5 linked regions of the Macaca mulatta genome follow. The protein of the gene in region 3 interacts with the protein of the main gene of each other region in a pairwise test. Links are inferred from orthologs where the notes say so. Each region holds a gene or a part of one and is shown on either strand. Other genes may lie near its edges. The genes, in order: METTL17, PLEKHN1, CBY2, DZIP1L and C19H19orf44.

Region 1 (4,072 bases), on a different chromosome or scaffold from region 3:
AAACTGGCTCAAACAATCCTCCTGCCTCAGCCTCCCAAACAGCTGTGACTGCAGGCAGGAGCCCACCATGCCCAGCGGAGATCCTCTTTAAAAAAAAATGCATATGCAATGTCCCAAGAATCCCCATCCTAGAAAACTACTTTATGAATAGGGAACTGATGGTCAAAAAGTTCAGGTTGGAAGTTAAGGGACTTTCACCTCATGGAATGCTCTGGAGACTGCTGCAAAGCCACCATCCAGTCTTGCTGCCATATACACCAGGCTCAGTCCCTCAGTGTAGCTGCCATTAAAATCAGAGAGTCATACATACTAGTAAATAACCTTAATCCCATAGTTACCTTCTAGATTTAGAAAATGACATCTTGGAAAAGGCTCTTCCAGCTCAGGCCTTTCACTCCCCAATACAAAAGGGTCCTGGGGAACCTTACAAACACTAAATTTTCAAACTTCAGGGTTCGAAACTTCGAACTTTAACTTTTTCAAATACTAAATTGATCCTTTTAAGGTCAGGTGATGTAAAAAAAAATACTAAATTGATTGTGTAATTGTACTCCCCCAACTCTCTCTGCCTTTTCTTTCTTGTGCACCTCTTCTAGGCCCCCTTACCTCAGCTCCTGCCAATGGTAGGTAGTTTTACGTAGTGCATGTAGCACTGCTCCACGAAGTTTCTCCTCTGTCTGACATAAGTCTGTGGTGAGAACAAGGACTGGAAGTCAGGACCTAGGGAGAACAGGGCTCAGATCCAATATCAGAATATACTGCCCACCCAGTCCTCCCTGACTCCACCTAAGAAAGTCTTAAAGCTCAAGAGAGACAACAAACCTAGAGAAAAGTTTCAGGCAAGAATTAACAGTAACTACTACCACTAACAGATTGTTTCAAATAGCATTTTGCTTCTAAGAATGATTTATTCAGCTTAATCAATCCTGTTCCACAGGTTTGTTTTGCATTAAAGGAAAGTGTGATAAAAATTTAAAGGGTAAGCTGGGCGTGGTGGCTCACACCTGTAAACCCAGCACTTTGGGAGGCTGAGGCAGGTGGATCACAAGGTCAGGAGTTCAAGAACAGAACAGCCTGACCAACATGGTGAAACCCTCTCTCTACTAAAAATACAAAAATTAGCCAGGCGTGGTGGCGTGCACCTGTAGTCCCAGCTATTTAGGAAGCTGAAGCAGGAGAATCACTTGAAACCAGGAGGCAGAGGTTGTGTTGAGCTGAGATCGTGCCACTGCACTATATAGCCTGGGCAACAGAGCAAGACTGTCTCAAAAAAAAAAAAAAAAAAAATTAAAGGGCACTATTTTTTGGATTTCTTCACTTCTCCAAAATTTAAGGTTTTGATGATCTCCACTTTTCCTATGGAGAGGAAAGAAATTTGAAAATCTAGGTCTCATGACTGTTCAGTTCAGTACTATTGAGCAAGTATCTACTGATCACCTACTATGAGCCAGGTACTGTAAGGTGTGCAGGGAATGCAAGATGAATAAATGGTAATGTTAAGGAGCTCACAATCATGAAACTAACTTGATGAATTATATTTATCCTCTTATCCCAGAAGAGGATTTCAGTACTGGGTAGAGGTCATCCAGGGACTTTATTTTACCTGAATAAAAACTTAGAAGGTCCTAATCCAGTGGACGTGCAGGAAAAAAACAAGTATCTAGATTTTAACAGTGTATTGGTGGCCAGGCACGTTGGTTCACGCCTGTAATCCCAGCACTTTGGGAGGCCGAGGTGGGTGGATCACCTGAGGTCAGGAGTTCAAGACTAGCCTGGCCACCATGACGATACCCTGTCTCTACTAAAAATACAAAAGTTAGCCGGGTGTGGTGGTGCACGCCTGTAATCCCAGCTAGTGAAGAGGCTGAGGCAGGAGAATCACTTAAACCCGGGAGGTGGGGGTTGCAGTGAGCCGAGATCGAGCCATTGCACTTCAGCCTGGGCGACAGAGCAAGACTCTGTCTCAAAGCAAAAACAAAAAACAAAACAAACAAAAAACAGTATACTGGGACATTCTAACCTTTACCTAAGCAATCTCTAGAATAATCTACCTTCTTTTAATAAGGCATCATTGTTACAACTGCTGCTCTGGTTAGAAAGTCAAATAAGAGACTTCAGTACCTGTTCGAGAGACTGCAAAATTATTTCTTACTCTTCATTTCTAACCGACATTTCAATCTGGCCTACTTTTTAATTATTAAGTCCTACCTGGGTTTTCCAGAAATTTCTTCTCAAAATGCCTAGCCCGTCTTTGCAACTCCTCTGGCTCCACAGGCAAATGTCTGCTCCAGAGATAACTGGTCAGTGTTTGCACCTGATTCTCCATAGTGGGCCCAGCATTCTCTATGGGCCAAAGATGAAAAGCGGAATCACTTGCATGCAGGTCCAGTCCCGTTTCTTCTCCCTTTCCAGCCGTTACTCACCAAGTAGCAGTAACTGGGCACCGTTAGCCAGTGCCTGTGGCAGCCGCACGTGCGGTAGGTTTAGGATGCCAGGGTGCTGGCGATGAGGCCTCTTCTGCAGGAAATCGGACTTGTTATCTATCTGTGTCACTCCAGGTACTACTGCGGCGAGCGACTGCAGGCAGAGAAAGAAAGGTTGATTTTCTGGCAGAAAGGAAAGTTGCTGGCGCTCGCTAGGGCGGGGGCTGCCAGAAGCGCTCCTCCTCCGCGCGGAGATGTCTCTGCAGATCCAGAGTCTCTCCGTGAGCCGGCAATGTAGGTACTCACCCGGGCCTGGGGAGCTACTCCAAGGCCGGGGCACCATCTTCCTAATATCAGTAGAGACTTCAGTGCCCCCGCCATGGCTCCGGAGGCGAACCGGAAACGGAAATGTAGGTTCCTGTGACCCTCAGTCACAACGCCGCAAGGAGCCGCCTTCGCAGAACGTCCCCCGACAGTTTCAGCCAACCAGAAGAGCGAGTGTTTGCCAGCAGCCAATAAGCAATGGTTATATAAATATCCTTGAGGCGGAAACCGTGTTTGGGCTGGAGGCTGCGTCGGGCTTGGTCACCGGCGCCAGAAATCAAGAGGGTGGGGCGGGACGGGGGCGGGATGGAGTTGGGTGTGAGCGCGCCATTGACTGGCAGAGACTGTTTCTGGGAATACTGACTTCCTGTGTTCTTTGCATTCCTCCGCGGAGAACTCTGAGTCTTGGGTTGTTTCCCTGTGTGAAAAAGGGAGACTGCAGTAACGGAAGGAAGAGAAGAGAAAAATCATATTTAAGAGACTTTAGACAACAGAAATTAATAGTTAAATAATTATTGAATAGTTAATAGTTTGATAAAAAACCTAGTTAATCGGTTTATTTTATTTTATTTTTTTACATTTGTTAATTTCTCTTCAAATGAGACCAGTCTTCTTAGTAAGCTAACATAACACTTACTGAGAACACCTACGTGCTAGGTACTTCAGGGAAAAGGACTGAAACTCGCTTCACAGAAAACTTGGTTCTGACGGGGACCCTTCTGAGTCTGCTGCTAGATCACACTGTTTCCCCCAGGCCTAGGACTTCTACAGATGCTGTCGTGACTACCTGAGGTGCAGAATCTCAGGTGGGTTCAGCCACTCTTGTGACGTGATAATGTAGCACAGGGTAATGTCTCCAGAGTCTGCAGGCCATCAACTCCTTCATTCACCAGAGCATCAGAAGGATAAATGGCATATGCAAGGCCATATCTACTTTCGGAATCTGACAGTGCACAACTGCTACCTCAGTCTCCAAACACTTGAGCTCACCCAGTGTGTGATTTCTGTGGGTTCCTGCCCCCCTAATTTCTGTTACAGGTTTAGGATGTTCTCCCAGCATATCCACTTGACTTGTGTGTGGAACCAGCCAGTTCATCTGGAGGGCTAGACTCCTGGGTCATCAGGCCCTACCACAGGTGGTCCAGGGATCTCAGGTCCCAGCACCCTAATTGGACTGCCCTTCTGTGGTCCTCTCCCTTATTCGACTTCTTCCTCAAATCTGCAGCCCTCACCGACCGCAGCCTGCCAGCTCTCTCAGGGCTCCTCATCTCGGGGTGAGGCGGGGTGAGAAGACATGGGTGGACAAGGGGAGAAGGGCTGCTCTG
Region 2 (4,171 bases), on a different chromosome or scaffold from region 3:
TGTGCACACACTCATGTGCGTGCATACACACACACACACAGACACACTTCCCCACACAGAGCTGCCTGGTCTAGTGGTAGAGATGGTGAGATTTGAACTCAGTGGATTAAATCCTATCTTCATTATTTCCTAAGCTGTGTAACATGTCTTTGGTTATTCAACCTCTGAAGACTTGTTAGAAGAATTTGGGGGTGTCTGGGTAACACTCAAAACCCTCCCACGTCTCCAGTATTGGCTGGTAAACGTTTAACACCTGGTTCTACAAAAAACAGACACAGAAACACACCAATGCCCTGATTTGTAACGTTTGTCAATTTCCTCAGTGTCAATGTTCTCAGCGCCGCCCATTTCCAGCCCCCAGCCTGAAAGATGTGAGGAGATTTCCGGGGTCGATCCCCTGAGTGTGTGCTGGCCACTTGCTTAGGTGACAGCCGGGTCCTGGCAGTGCCCCGAGGGGTCAGACCCCCGCTCTCCGGCCACTGCATGTGCTCTTCCCGCTTTGGGGACCGCTCAGTCCCCACCCCCTTCCTTACCCGCTTTGCAGCTTTGCTCAGACATCACCTGCTCCAAGAGGTCCTTTTCTGAAAGCCCCTCTAAAATTCCAGCCTTCCCTGATCCTCTGCACCCATCCCCGCTGTTTTTCTCCTTAGCACCAACCCCACCCTTCTCACTGGATCTTCTATTTATTTGCCCCATCGTCTGGGAGTGGGAGCACCGTGAGAACAGGGGTTGTCTATTCCGTTCAGTTCTGTGTCCCCAGAGCCTAAGGCAGGGCCTGGGATGTGCTGTGGGTATCACTGCATGTGCTGAGAGGGGAGAGGAATCCACATCCATGCCACACTTAGCCAATCCTGGCACAGTCCTCTACAAATGCAGGCTTTGATCACCAGGCTAGAGATCAGAAAGGGGACGGGTGTGAACCTGGGGCTGGAGAGCTCTGTGATCCACAGGCTCAGGGGCAAGTGGGAAGGTGTCCTGTTCCCTCTAGGAGCTGGCAAGGGCTACCAGCAGTGCTGCTGTGTCCTGGCCAAGCTTAGCTGCCCCTGAGCAGGCCCAGGAATGTGAACAGACAGACGCATAGGCTTTCCCGGCCTCCCGCCTCTGGGTGGGGCCTCCTGTACCCACACCCAGCGTGGGAACTGATGCCGGGTAGGCACCTATGAAAAATAGGCCACAGACCAGGAAGGGCCACACAGCTAGCCCTGCAGCCCAGCTCAGCCTCGGGGCCCCAGGGAGGACTCAGCCTGGAGCCGGCAGAGCCAGCTCACAGCACTGGGTGCAGAGCCCAGGCACAGGGCAGAGGAGCACTGGCTCCAGGACTGGCCCCGAGCTCCTCCCCCAGCCCCATTTCCTGAGGCTCAGCGGGTTCCCTCTCTGGCTACCATGTCCTGGCAAGGGAGGACCACTAGGGCCACCCACCACACCTCATAGGGCCCTACCAGGGTCCCACTGCATGTCCTGGGCCTGGACAGAGAGAGTAGCGTCTGAGATGCAGCCAAAGGGACCCCACCCCTAGGCCAGCCTGGCCCCCTCTGCCTGCCCACTCCTCTGAGGCAGTGTGGTTTCCAAAACCAGCACCTGTTGTCTGCAGGGAACCCTGAAACTCTGCAGGTCAGGAGAGGGTATGGCACGAGCCTCCTGCCTGGCGGGGGCATGTTGGCAACGGGGTCTGCACGGCCACGCCAGCTGCTGGACCTAGGAGTGCAGGGCAGGGGTCCTCTCCCCCAGACGCTCCTAGGGCCTGCACATAGCATCCAGCCTGCCTGACAGGGGTGCCGTGGGGGTTCCTCCTCCTGTTCCCTCAACCCAGCACCAGGCACATCTGAAAGGGGCTGGGCATCTACCCTGTGAAGACCCTTAGTCCTACGGGGGCCTGGGCGGGGGGATGGGCATGGGGGTTCTTCTGCTCCTTCCACGACGGAGAGGTGGCCTAGTGTGTGCTCGGGAGATGCCTCCTTGCTGCGTGGCCTTGGCAGGCTGGGAGGAGGCCCTGCGTGCACAGAGGGGTTGCTGTGGACAGGGCGGCGGTACCCAGCAGCAGCTTCCTGCGGGACACCCCGTCAGAAACAGGCCGCGGGTAGGTGGCCGGCTGGCTCACTGCGCACCTGAAGCCCCTTACTGTCAAGTGACACGACCAGCACGACCCCAGCCCCACTGCAGCGACAGAGACGCGTGCGCCGGTCCCCTGCGGGAGGAGGTCCCGGGAGGCCCCGCCCGCGGCCCGCCCCGCCCAGCTCGCTCCCGACTGACTCAGTCCTGCGTCGCGGTTTCGCTCTCCGCTCAGACTTTCGGCCCGATGAGCTCCCCAGGGCGGGGCAGTCAGCATCCGCTCCTCACCTAAGGGGGTCTGAATCCCCCCGGGCCGAGGGGAAGACCCTGAACTGCAAGGACACGCGGCACACACGCGCGGGCAGAGCCACGCTCCCAGACCCCAGCCACCGCGTGCGCCGCGCTCACCGTGCCCGGGATGTAGTGGAAGAGCTTGTTGGCGGCGGCGTCCCCGCTTCCAGCAGCCTCGGGGCCCAGCAGGCCAGCCGGCATCCGTGCGCCGTCCTCTCTGGGGACAAGGCAAGGGAGCTCGTGGCCCCGGAGCGGGTGGGGGAGCCCCGTGCCCAGGTGGCCACACCCACACCCCGCTCACCTGTTTCCCTTCAATGAGGGCTTTCTGGAGAAGGAGGCCCGGAGCCTCCTGGGGGCCTGAGGGACACAGTGGCTGTTCCCCATGGCCAGAGTCGTGCAGGTCGGCAAGTCTGGGTCCCTGTCCACAGCCTCCTGCCCCCGCCTCCCACAGGCAGGCGGGGCTCTGGGACGTCCCGCCCGTCACCCAGGGCTGGGCGGGGGTGGAGCCATTCTGGAAGAGGCCTCGCCCCTACCTGAGCCATCCAGGTCTCTGCCCTGGGCCCTCCACACCGAGGGGCCAGCCTTGGGGCGATCTCCCCTCTGGCCCAGACAAGGCCTCCAGTGTGCAAGGGGCACCCCACTTGCCTGTGCTCAGGCTTTGTGAAATCGGGGCCACCTTCCAGCACCCCCCCAACAATGTGCACACACATCCTGTTTCCATCTAAACCCTGGCCGGCCTGAGTCACCGGTGACTGCAGGGAGGGCTGAGGCAGGAATTCCAGCGTAGGAGACAGTGCCCAGAGCCACCCCAGCCTCCCCTCCTGCCTGGGCTCCCTCACCAGACCCATCAGGGTCCTCAAGGCTTAAGGGGACTCTGGAAGGCCACGTGCCACCTAGGCGGCCAGGACAGTCAGCATACGCAGGGGCAGTGCTGTCCTCCCCCGCCGCACCCCCAGAGCCCAAGACGTGGCGGGGACCTCAGCCTCAGGACCCAGCTCAGGCAAACCCCACCTACAGTGGGAGAGACTCCATGGCCCCCACCCTCCCTGGATGCACAGCTCTGCCTTGTAGCCCCCAGACACCGGTGCAGCATCTCAGGCCACCCGCCCACGCCCCTCACCCTGGACCCCCAGATAGGACCCAAAGTTGCGCAGCTGCCCCACAAGCCAGAGAGATGCTCAGCCTGGGAAGCCCCAGAAATGTGTTTATTGTTCAAGTTGGGATTGTATTGCTGTGTGGGGCCCGAGTGCACACGTGTGCACCCACTACAAGATCCAGGGAAGACGGCACAAAGCAGACGATGACAGGAAGGACACCTGCTCCCCACCCTTCCCGGGACCCCGCCGTGTACAAAATTCGAGCTGGGGTCTGCAGCTGCTTGGAAAGCCCCAGGGCCTCTGGCTCCGCGGCCTGCAGGGTCTGAGCAGGCAATGGCCCTGGGGCAGCGAGGCCCCGACCTGGTCACTCCCGGCTGCCCGCCATGCAGGCAGTGGAGGGGAGGACGGGCGGCCGCAGCACTGCTCACCCCTCAATAAATAAGATAAATAACTAAATAAATAAACAACTAAATATAGACACGAAGGAATGGACGCAGAGACGTGAACAGAAGATGCAAGATGTCCCTGGTGGGGGCCACGGCCCCCTTAAGGCATGTGGGAGGCTGCAGGCCTCTGGGGGTGGGGGGGTCAGAGGCTGGTGGAGGACACGGACAGCGTGGGCGAGGACGGCGGCGGGAAGTTGAGCAGCTCCAGCACCGCCACACCCACACTGCTACGCCGTGTGAACATGCAGGACGCGGCCACCCACTTGTTGGTCCTCGGGTTGTACTTCT
Region 3 (3,998 bases):
CTCCAATTGTGTTCTATTACCAAAGAAAATAGTTTTTTATTGAAAACTAATGCAAATAATATATTGCCATAAACTGAGAATACTCACAAACAGCTTCCAAGTTCTGGAGAGAGCAGAGAGAAAGGTAAATGCCTCAAAGTTTTGTTCACAAAGGTATATTTTATCTAATGTGTTGTAAGTTAAAAACGGTTCAAAAGGAAAATGTTTTCTTGACTCAGGAAAACAAAACATAAGAGATCATCAATGTTTCAAATAAAAATGTCATAAAAGATCTTTTTATTCCTCTATCAGTTCAGTCCCATGTAGCTAATTCTTGTTCTGTTTGATGTTGGGTTAGCAATTCTCATGCAACTTTTTAATCAGAGCCCTGGAAGACTTTTCCTAGTCTGATGGCATTATCTCCAAAGTTATCAGAAATCTGTGTTTAAGAGTACTGATCAGAGTCCTTTGCATGAAAAGTAATTTGGGTTGTAGCTGATTGGAAAGCTTTTTAGAGAAGAATTCAAAACAATAACTGTGGATTACAAAAACTTAGCCATGGCTAAAACCTGATAAAAGTTGTCAATTGTCAGGAAAATGTAGTTATTTCTATTATATGTAGCATTTTAAGATAACAACCAGAACCATGACTGACAGCATCACATCAGGACCATCTGATTTTTATAATAATATAATCTTAAGAATATTTCTACTAATAATGTATCTACACAAATATAACTTTTAAAAAGATTTAACATATCAAAATTACGACTCATAGCATGTGAGACTTTTATAAACGTATGTAATTTTTAGTACATTTATATCAATAGCGCACCCATAAACATAACCAAAAGAAGATCCAGTATTATTTAGCATTTGATAATGTCTCCCATACAACTTTACCAGATAAATCCTACCAAAGATGTTAAAAGATTCAGAACATTTGATCAAAACGAACTACAGGTCATTTTAAAATAATAGTTATTCATTTAACTAGCATGACAGTCAAAGGACCTCAAAAGTAAGTAACAGAAAGTTACATGGGCGGTTTCCTGGTTATACAAAATAATTCAGACATATCATAAAGCCAAGAGTATAAGATTATATTACATTTGAGGAAAACATTGCTTTTCTAAACTTTAAGATAAATATGTTAGCATTATGCCATAAGAACAGCATTAGGGCTGGGGTAAAAAATTGTAGGAGTTCATGAAAAAGTTGAAGAAGAGTTATCAGACCAGCCAAGCAAAAAGATATGTTTTTTTCAAGGGGAAAAAAACAGAAGATAATGAATGTGATCTGCAACTTATATGTAACAAGGTACAGGAAAAGTTGAACTTCTGAGATATAAATCTGACATTTTAATTTTAGAATTTAAAGTCAATATTTCTTGCAATATCATTGAGAGCAAATCAATACTTCAAAAAATTTTGTGGCTTTAACCAAAATTTTTAGTTTTGTGTTAGTGCATTTTTAATATTACAGCTAATTTTAATAAGACCTTATAAACAAATCTATTCAATCTCAGTTAGTTTTGACTGCAAGATAAGATTTCCGTAAACCTTTTATAACCTCTTCCAATTTGTTATATTTTCATTCTTTAACTTTCTATATTTATTTAGTTTTATCTATAATTTTTTTATTCCTTCAATTTAAAACAATCCTTTAGAACCTCTAAACTAGGCAAAATTACTTGCCCTTAAATGAAAACCATATTCCTGTCTTCTTATGTGTTTACCAAAAACACATCCTATTTTTCTTATACATTTTGCATATAGAATTGTTTCTCTTGTATCTAGTAGTTTCAATTACATATATAAGTCACAATATTAACTCTTAGTAATCCTTATTTTAGGGAAGAACCTAGGAGGTAAGAACTCTTGAATTGTCTGTCATATATCAGTATTTTATAGATAAAATATTATAATTTATGTATTTTAAAACCATTTTTTAACCTTTAGAAACATTTCCTTATACATTTTCTTAATTGGAAGTGACCCAGCTGCTCAGTAAGTATGATAACTTCAAGATTTTCAAAAACATAAGAATTTCATTTATTACGTTTATCTAATTTATTTGTTTTTAACAGTTTATCTAGATTAGTTATGAGAACAGAGATATTAGACAAAGCTGGTCATCATTTTAAGTTTTTTCCTTGTTAACCATTTCACAGCTTGTGAATATCAGGTGTTCACCTAAGTAAGAACTTTGAAGTGAAATACATGGATATTTTGCTGATAAATCAGAGGATTTCATTGTTGTCATTAAACCAACAATATTAGTCTTATTTATCAAAAGAATCACGTAAACAAAGATTATTCTGTTTTGGCTAGGTTTATAATTTCGTGACTTTTGTGCCAAACCTGGACATCTTAAAATAACTAGCAGATGCACATGTCAGCTGACCAGTAAACACAGGCAAAATCACATGCTGACAATTCTGAAGACATATCTATTTTTATTTTATCAATAATTTTAAATTGGTTTTATTTTCCAAAGATTATTAAAGTCACATGAACTTGAAAAGCTTTTGGGCTTATTTATTTAATGTATCAGTACTCTTTTATTTATAAGCTCATTTGATACCATATAGAAACAACACATAACATAATGCATGTATATGCGTAAACGAGACAGTTGGATCAAACTTATTTTCCTGATAAAATTAGAACCTGTTCACATAGCTCAACTTTATTTGCCCTGATGAGCAAAGCAGTTTCCATGGCACTTTGATTTTAAAAGACCTCTTTCATTTTTTTTTTCTTTAGCCAGTAACCTTAAACTAGTAATACCATGAACAGTAAGTTTTATCTCAACACTAGTAAAAAAGTCAGCAGATTCAAAGTAGTCAAGAAGAAAAGACAGGCAAATAACTTAGAAGACTACATGACAACTCTTTAGGGGCAGAAGAAGAAAGAGGGTTTGACTGACATTTTTTCCATGTGCCATTTTTCTTCAGGTTTTCTAGTTTATGGAGTTGCTTTGTTCTAATTGAGTGTGCGGATAAACTACTCTGGAGCTCTCATAAGGCTTCTGCTGGAGCCATCACAGTCTTTAACCTTTGTTAAGCCAAACATTGATACACAGACCAAAAATACAGACAGATCAACAAAAATCAGAACCAGACTAGATTATCTCAGTGGCTGCAGCTTTTTACTATTGCCTTAATTCTTTGTGACTTGAACATACACCAGATTTGGGACTCTAACCTGACCAGAATCCCCCTTGGGTAGGACTCAAACCCACAGTCCTAGACAAGGGTGGGACTCTCATCCATAATCCTAAACCACAGGGTGGGACCTGAACCCACAGTCCTTATGATGAGTTCAAAGACAATTAAAAGTACAGGTATGTATTAACAAGGTACTCACCAGAAAGATGTCTAATCCAGAAGCAATTTCTTTTCCCAAAGGAAAAGTGCCAAGGGAACCTGAAGTGCCATGGTAGAGAAGCAGGAACCCTATAGTTGAGCCTCTGAACGCACTGGTCTAGGTGGCTACTCAGGATCAGTGCAGGGGGCCTGCACACCACTAGGGGCAACAGTACCTTGAACAGGCTGTTCGTCTCACCTGGGGTTCTAGTTTGTTATCAAGCAAAAGGGGCTCACTGCCCAATATGCTAGAAGCCAATACTGACACCAAGTTTTTGAAAAAAAGAAAAGCTTTATATTAAAAGTCACCTCTGAAGGAGGCAGGAGTCAAGCTCAAATTTGTCTCTCTGTGCTGGCATTAAAGCAGTATTTTTATTAGAAAAGGTTCAGGGGGTGGATTCTGAGATTAGCAGGTGATTGGTACAAGGAAAAGGGAGGTCTGGAAAGTCCTTGGGCATGCACAGTTATTTCTTCATGTTAACTCCTGAGTTGCATGTGCAAATTCAGGGGGAATTAGTACAAAACATGTGGTGGAAATTCAGCCTACGACATCAGCAAGCTTATTGTGTGCAAGCTCCAGTCAGCCATTTTGGTTCCAACCAATTTCCGCCAGGTTTTTCTAGATCTCGCAAGTGGAGGGAGTTTCAGC
Region 4 (3,512 bases), on a different chromosome or scaffold from region 3:
AGGTGATGTATGAACCTCAGGAATGACCAAGAAGCAGGAAGCTAACTACAGTCTTCTACGATTCAAACGAAATCAAGGTCTGAGCTGACTTTTGGAGCTACAACAGCCCTTGGCTCACTGATTCATTCAAGAAATGTTTGTTAAGGGCCTATGATGTAGCAGGCACTGTTTCCTCACCCTCTCATTAATCACCTTGTCCAAATACCTCATTTTACAACAAAGGAGCAGAAACCACCTGCACAAGGACAAGCAGGTAGCAAGTGGCAGAGCCAGGACTTTCTCTGAAGATTCCTAACTCCCAGTCCCAAGACCTTGCCACCCTATTGCCCTCGCCTGGCAGGGCATCAATACTTCTCCAGAGATCTGTTTCTGGCGAATTCTGATGGACTGGCAGGCTTGGCTTATGCTGTAAACATGGCCAAGTGCTGCAGAGTCTATTAGGAGCAAGAACTTTGCAGACTGCAAGCCTAGCCTGACATCCCAGAGTTTCTACTTACTGACCTTGGCAAGACAAAACTCTAAATTCCACATTCTTTATTCTTTAACTCAGTCTTGGCTAGAAAATACAACTGAAGCCAGAAGCTGCAGGCCTCAGTTGGCAGTTTGATAGGAAAATCTTGAAAGAATGGGAGTAGACAGTTGTTTTGAAAAGAAGGATGCTCAACTAGTCATTGCAACCTGTTAGACAGAAAATAATACATTGAAGGAATATTTTCATTCCAGTTACCATGACAGTTAGCTCAGGTCTCTACAATACCCTTTCCATCAACACGTTGAATTTCTAAGTCTCTTGGCTGAAAAGGGCAAAGAGCTTCCCCGTATGATGAAACAGGCTGCGTGGCCCAAAGGCAGCCTGCTATAAAGGTTGACTGACTGTCTGTGGCTGCCTCCTCTGTCTCAAGCTTTGCTGGGAAGCCACACTTTTCACAATTGAGTTGTTGCAAAAAGTTATGCTTGTTACAGTCTATGTGTTATAGAAAACTATATTTGTCAAAATGTTCATGGTAGCAAACTGTTTTCCCTTCAAGTTGTAACTGAGGTTTGCCCTGGAGGCTACTTTGACCACTGTGGTATTTAACTCTAGGACCATCAACTCTTGATCGGTGCTAACGAACTCAAACAGCATAAAAGACTATGGGGATATTCTTAACATTTGGAACACAGCTAAAGGCAGCTCTTTCTGTTAGTTTACAATTAAATAAATAAACGTGACTCTAACACATTAACTTCAAAAACATCATACAGAATCTCAACTTGCCATGACATCGTTCTGCGGTCTTGGGCCAGTCATAATGTCTATGAGGCTTAGTTTCAACTTCTGTCACGACGTGTGTGGCTCAGCCTTCCCTCATCAGTGCTGTGAGGAGTAAACGAGGAGACTCGTGCGAAGAGATCCACACAGAGCTGAGCACTCGGTGAGCACCCAGAAACACCAACACAGAGGGGAGAGCCTTCTCTCACGCCTCGAGCTTGCGCAGAAGGAGGGAACTTCTGCTCTCCTCACCAGGATGGACAAGGATAGGAGAAACACCCTCCCAGTTTCTTCCCCACATCCTACCCTCTCCTCACAGAAGAAGCCAAGCAGAGGGGTGGGCCTGCAACACACCCTGGGCCACGGCGCACCTGAAGGAGGGCTGCTGATCCAGAAAACAGTGCCAGCTCTTTCTCTCGGAGCCTCCCCGCCCCTATGGCTGGGTTTGAGCCGGGCTGGAGTGCACCCTACAGCTGCCTGTTTAAGGTCTTACACATTCAGGGTCTGCTTTGCAAACCCAGCCCTGCGCACAAGTAAGATCAGGATCTGGATTCGGGGAGACTGGAGGGGCCCCCACTTTGGCCTCAAGTGCTGGTTGTTCCTCTAATCCAGCCCTAACAGAAAGCCAATGCCTCAGGCATTCCTGGGCCCTGTCACCACTATTAGAGCGAGGCTTTGATCACCCGTGGCTGGCCACTGTGTTTATTCTCTACTGGAAAGAACATGGAGGAGAAAAGAGATGAGTGGCTCCCTTTGACCTCCCACAGTCAACAATTTGATGACAAAACAAGGGGTAAAATAAACCTTGCTCAAACTCTAGCTTTCTCCTGATATCTCTGCTATCCCAGAAAAAAAAAAAAATTTGAGGCGAAGGAGGACCATTCTCTCGAAGCCAAATAGAGAAAGAGATGTCAAATCAGAAAGCCTAAAGGAAGCTGAAGGGTGTTTCTGGAGCCTCGAGAAATCTGGGCTGGAGAAGGGTTTCACCCGTGGTCCCAGCCCACTCACCCGAAGGTGCCAGCTCACCTGAGCCCTGGCCAGGGGGCTGGGCATTCTCTGAGGTCTCTGTGTCAGACCAGTCCCAGTCATCCTCGGGCCGAGGCACCATCCTGGAAGGAACTTTCGGAGGCTGTAGAGACACACGCTGCACACGGTCTCCCTCTGAGTCCTCTTCAGAACTGAACGGGGGCGTGCTGCCATGAGGAGGAGAAGAAATGAGGGATGCATGGGCCAGAAAGAAAACTTTGAAAGCCAAACTTCATCATGCTGCAAGCTGGCTTGGTGGGCTCAGGGCAGCCCTGCTCCCTCCCTCAGGCCCAGAAGATATCTAGGAGACCCGTGGAGTGCAGCAGCCACACCAGCTTCTCCCTTAGTAGAGCCCTGCCTGTCTGAGGATCCGCCCCTCCGGAGTGGGAACGGGCTTGGGGGAGGAGATGGGTAAGGGGAGGGTGGGTTTGTCTTGGCTAGGAGCACAGGTTCTCAAGTCCAGAGCCCAGACTGGACCCTACCTGAGGCACCTTCTGTTCACATGTATCTGCCCCCCACCTATCTGCAGAAGCCCGGAGGGAGCCCAGAACAGGGCTGCCTGAAGCCAGGAGCCGCCACTGCAGGTGGGGTGAGAGGGCAGAGTCTGGGGCTCACCTCATCCCAGGCCCCAAGGAAGGAGGGGTGCTGGAGGGTCCATGCACTCTGGGGCGTGGAGCCGGGGTGGACACTTGGGTCAGGCCGGAGCCATGGCTGCCATGGCTCTGACGAGTTGGTGGGGGCGGCTCTGCCGGCGTGGATGGCAAGGCCCCCTGCAGGGTCCTGGTCTTTGGCTGGGCCTCTCTGGTGACCAGTGTGCTCTGCTGGCTTTTGACTGGAAACAGAAAGGAATGACTTTTGGAGGACACCCATGCTGGGTCTCAAGCCTAAGAGGAGGGAGAAAGCGGCTCCAACACCCTGGAAATGGACAATCACTCCCTCTCTGTGCTGTAATAACCACAGCAGATTGCACAATTGCTGCCAAATCAGGTGTTCTGCTGCTGGCCAGATTCAAGGCTGGGACCATAGTTCCACAGTTTCCTCAGAGACCAGGAGAGCAGCTGGGTGCTCCAGAGTCATGCTGTCATTATAGACCAGCAGGAGTCCGCGGGCCTGAAGAGGAACTCAGCAGTCCTAGATGGACTTCACCAAGACCGCTACCCTCTCCCCAACCCACACTACAGCTGCGGCAGTGCAGGCAGCCCTGCAGGAAGACCACGCTGCCACCAGAGGTCGC
Region 5 (3,512 bases), on a different chromosome or scaffold from region 3:
GCAGGAGAATCGCTTGAATCCGGGAGGCGGAGGTTGTGGTGAGCAGAGGTTGCGCCATTGCACTCCAGCCTGGGCAACAAGAGCAAAACTCCGTCTCAAAAAAAAAAAAAAAAAATTTAAATTAAATTAAATAAATAAAAATAAATTTACCAAAAAAAAAAAACTTACCGAAAATAGTTTTCTTTCTTCTTCCTCACTGACGTTAACACTGCTGAAGCCTTGACTCGTCTTTTTTTCTCTAGAAGAGTCCATCAAGCTTCCTAGCAATACTTTCATTTCTTCTTCGTCACTGTCTGGAGAATCAAATGTTCTAGCAGGTTCTTTCTGTTTGGGGGTTTGCAAAGTCCTCTCTTTCCCAACAGGTGCTTCAGGGGATATGTTTTCAACAGATGGTTGTTTCTTCTTTAGAAACCTACTAACCTTTGGGTTCTGTGCATTATTTTCGGTGACAGGAAGTTCACAGGTTTGATTCTGGGAAGTTTTGTCTGTGTTCTGGGACGCAAGTTCGATTGCACCCCCGGAGAGGATTCTGTCAGCTCTCTTTGGAAGACTGGCATTGGTGGTCGTTGAGTCAGATTCTGTGTCAGACAAATTCCTCTGCAGCTTCCGATTCATGATCCGGGTTTCCAGCTGGGCCAGCTTCCTTAGTGCGGCATTGGCTCGGATCCTGGAGTCAGTGGTGGGCGGTCTACTTGAGGCAAGGCTGGGTCCACTCCCCAGTACAGGGTTCTCTTTTAGGAGTAAGTGTTTCTCACCTAGAGTTTGGTTTCTTTTTAGAAATCTGCTATGACCAGGTGCTATTTTGGTAAGATTTCTACTGATCTGGAAGTTTCTGATTTCTTCCATTGTTGAATCTTCTAAGGAAGTGTCACTGAAGTCACCAAAAACATCGCGTATGGGACAGCTGGCTTTCCTTGCAGAAGCCATTCTGTGGGGGAAGGGGAGACAATTTTGCATAAGAGTACCTGCTGTTTGGGCCGGGCGCTGTGGCTCACGCCTATAATCCCAGCACTTTGGGAGGCCCAGGCGGGTGGATCATGAGGTCAGGAGATTGAGACCATCCTGGCTAACATGCTGAAACAATGTAACTATCCATTAATTAGTGAATGGATTACAAACTATGGTCCATCCATACAGTGGAATACTGTTCAGCAATTTAAAAAACAAATACTAATATAATAGCATGCAGGAATCTCAAATACATCATATGAAGGGAAAGTAGCCAAGCCGGGCCCGGTGACTCACGCCTGTAATCCCAGCACTTTGGGAGACCGAGGCAGGTGCATCACGATGTCAGGAGTTCGAGACCAGCCTGACCCACATGGTGAAACCCCGTCTCTACTAAAAATACAAAAATTAGCGGGGCATGGTGGTCTGCGCCTGTAATCCCAGCTACTCAGGACGCTGAGGCAGGAGAATTGCTTGAACGTGGGAGGAGGAGTTTGCAGTGAGCTGAGATCACGCCATTGCACTCCAGCCTGGGTGACAGAGCGCGACTCTGCCTCAAAAAAAAATTTAAAAAAAGGAGCCAGACACTAAACTCCACACACCCTATCATTTCATCTGTAAGAACTGTCAAGAAAATGCAAACCAATAAACTCAGAAAGCAGATCAGGCCGGTGCTGTGGCTCACGCCTATAATCCCAGCACTTTGGGAGGCCAAGGCTGGCAGATCACGTGAGGTCAGGAGCTCAAGATCAATGTAGCAAACATGGTGAAACCCCATCTCTACTAAAAATACAAAAAATTAGCCAGAGTGCAGTGGCATGATCACAGCTCACAGCAGCTTTGACCTTCCAGACACAAGCAATCCTGCTCCCGCCTCAACATCCCGAGTAGCTAGGACTGTAGACGCGAGCCACTACACCTGGCTAATTTTTTATTTTTATCTTTTTGAGAGATGGGGTGTCGCCATGTTGCCCAGGCTGGTCTGGATCTCCTGGCCTCAAGTGATCCTCCCGCCTTTGCCTCCCAAAGTGCTGGGATTCCAGGCGTGAGCCACCACACCCCGCCTGACGCGAAGTTCTAAAGCTGGATGAACTGGATGATGGCGACGACTTCACAGCTTTGTAGATTTACTAAAAATAACGGAGTCGTCAGCTTAAAAGTGGCGAACACTATGGTATGTAAATAAAGGCTCAACAAAGTCGTTAAAAACCAACAAACCAAAATTTGAAAACCCTGGCGCCCCTCAGACCATCCTGCTCTTCTCCCCAGCTATGAAGCGACCCGCCCAGGACCACGCTCCAATAGACTCCAGGCAGGGAGACTGAGGCGCGGGACCATCCTGCAGCTGCCCAACCAGCTCAGCCACGGAGAAGGCCCCATTTCCCCGTATCCCCCTCGCGAGCCCGGACGCCCAGCCAGGTCACCTCCCCACCAGCGCTGCCGACCTCCTCCCACGCCGTCCATTCGCAGAGGCAGCCGCCACATTCAGGCCTGAGGGACCGGTTGCCCTGAGCAACAGAGCCAGAGCAGAAGAGACTACATCTCCCGGCAAGCACCGCGTCCCGCAGACCAATGGCGTCCCGAATCACAATCGCGAGGCATCATGGGAGCGGTAGTTCTCTGGTGGACCCGACGTGCCCAGCGCCGCAGCTACCAATGGGACCCTCAGGTCATAATCGCGAGTTGTGACGGGAGTTGTAGTTTCAGGACTCGCCTGAAGAGCCGCAGAGAGCGCCGGGAGCTAAGGGGCGGTGGCGACCGGAAGCGCAGTGCAAACCCCCATGGCCGGGGTTCGGGTGCCCCTCTGGGGCATCTGCATGCTGCGAGTGGCGCTGGCTACCGTCTATTTCCAAGAGGAATTTCTAGACGGAGGTGAAGGGGCCACGCCCTTAGTGGCAGAGGTGTAAGCTCCCCCATCTGCCCCCCCAAGGCTGGGCAGAGTCGTCGCGAGGTCGACGGCAGCGAACTCTCGAATCCTCGAGGGTCCCCCTCACCCTTCCCTTAGGCCAAATTAACCATTATCACCTCTAACCGGTGTTATTTCCCCCTCCCCACAGAGCATTGGAGAAACCGATGGGTGCAGTCCACCAATGACTCCCGATTTGGGCATTTTAGACTTTCGTCGGGGAAGTTTTATGGTCATAAAGAGAAAGATAAAGGTTAGTGTAGAATCAGGACCAAACTGAGCCTAATGTTACATCTCCATAGCACCCTCTCAAGGTAGTTGTGGCACAGCCAAACGCTTTTATTCCCGATTTACAGATGAGACCTTAAGGCAAAGGTAGAACTTAAGGCAAAAGGGCTCCTTACCCTTGTTTTTTGTTTCCTCTCTCTTTTCTTTCTTTCTTTCTTTCTTTTTTTTTTTTTTTTTGAGATGGGGCCTTGCTCTGTTGCCCAGGCTGGAGTGCACTGGTGCGATCTCAGCTCACTGCAACTTCCACTTCCCGGGTTCAAGCAATTCTCCTGCCTCGGCCTCCCGAGTAGCTGAGACTACAGGCGCGCGCCACTGTGACCAGCTAATTTTTGTACTTATTAGTAGAGACAGGGTCCACGTTGGCCAGGCT

What was found.
Region 1: the proteins of CBY2 (region 3) and METTL17 interact in binary tests that used the Homo sapiens proteins (3 or more experiments, as listed by UniProt). The link is inferred for Macaca mulatta from reciprocal best matches to the Homo sapiens genes CBY2 and METTL17.
Region 2: the proteins of CBY2 (region 3) and PLEKHN1 interact in binary tests that used the Homo sapiens proteins (3 or more experiments, as listed by UniProt). The two-hybrid records come from large-scale screens. The link is inferred for Macaca mulatta from reciprocal best matches to the Homo sapiens genes CBY2 and PLEKHN1.
Region 4: the proteins of CBY2 (region 3) and DZIP1L interact in binary tests that used the Homo sapiens proteins (3 or more experiments, as listed by UniProt). The two-hybrid records come from large-scale screens. The link is inferred for Macaca mulatta from reciprocal best matches to the Homo sapiens genes CBY2 and DZIP1L.
Region 5: the proteins of CBY2 (region 3) and C19H19orf44 interact in binary tests that used the Homo sapiens proteins (3 or more experiments, as listed by UniProt). The two-hybrid records come from large-scale screens. The link is inferred for Macaca mulatta from reciprocal best matches to the Homo sapiens genes CBY2 and C19orf44.

Annotation. Positions count from the first base shown.
Region 1 is NC_133412.1:93,838,666-93,842,737, reverse strand, and holds the start of METTL17 (ribosome assembly protein METTL17, mitochondrial), read right to left. Parts: upstream 2,805-4,072; coding exon 2,730-2,804; intron 2,578-2,729; coding exon 2,424-2,577; intron 2,344-2,423; coding exon 2,209-2,343; intron 689-2,208; coding exon 607-688; intron 281-606; coding exon 199-280; intron 1-198. UniProt on the Homo sapiens protein: Mitochondrial ribosome (mitoribosome) assembly factor. Binds at the interface of the head and body domains of the mitochondrial small ribosomal subunit (mt-SSU), occluding the mRNA channel and preventing compaction of the head domain towards the body.
Region 2 is NC_133406.1:239,720,839-239,725,009, forward strand, and holds the start of PLEKHN1 (pleckstrin homology domain-containing family N member 1), read right to left. Parts: upstream 2,803-4,171; 5' UTR 2,725-2,802; coding exon 2,642-2,724; intron 2,558-2,641; coding exon 2,458-2,557; intron 1-2,457. Other genes in the region: KLHL17 (kelch-like protein 17), read right to left, coding at 4,026-4,171. UniProt on the Homo sapiens protein: Controls the stability of the leptin mRNA harboring an AU-rich element (ARE) in its 3' UTR, in cooperation with the RNA stabilizer ELAVL1.
Region 3 is NC_133422.1:24,970,234-24,974,231, forward strand, and holds the start of CBY2 (protein chibby homolog 2), read left to right. Parts: upstream 1-1,188; coding exon 1,189-1,299; intron 1,300-3,998.
Region 4 is NC_133407.1:41,060,845-41,064,356, forward strand, and holds part of DZIP1L (cilium assembly protein DZIP1L), read right to left. Parts: intron 3,111-3,512; coding exon 2,894-3,110; intron 2,446-2,893; coding exon 2,279-2,445; intron 1,358-2,278; coding exon of another isoform or gene 1,338-1,357; exon of another isoform or gene 1,222-1,337; intron 1-1,221. UniProt on the Homo sapiens protein: Involved in primary cilium formation. Probably acts as a transition zone protein required for localization of PKD1/PC1 and PKD2/PC2 to the ciliary membrane.
Region 5 is NC_133424.1:16,992,786-16,996,297, reverse strand, and holds part of C19H19orf44 (uncharacterized protein C19orf44 homolog), read right to left. Parts: intron 3,114-3,512; coding exon of another isoform or gene 3,006-3,113; intron 2,821-3,005; coding exon of another isoform or gene 2,730-2,820; exon of another isoform or gene 2,655-2,729; intron 2,466-2,654; exon of another isoform or gene 2,373-2,465; intron 1,767-2,372; exon of another isoform or gene 1,618-1,766; intron 1,536-1,617; 5' UTR 958-1,535; coding exon 169-957; intron 1-168. Other genes in the region: CALR3 (calreticulin-3), read left to right, coding at 2,730-2,820, 3,006-3,107.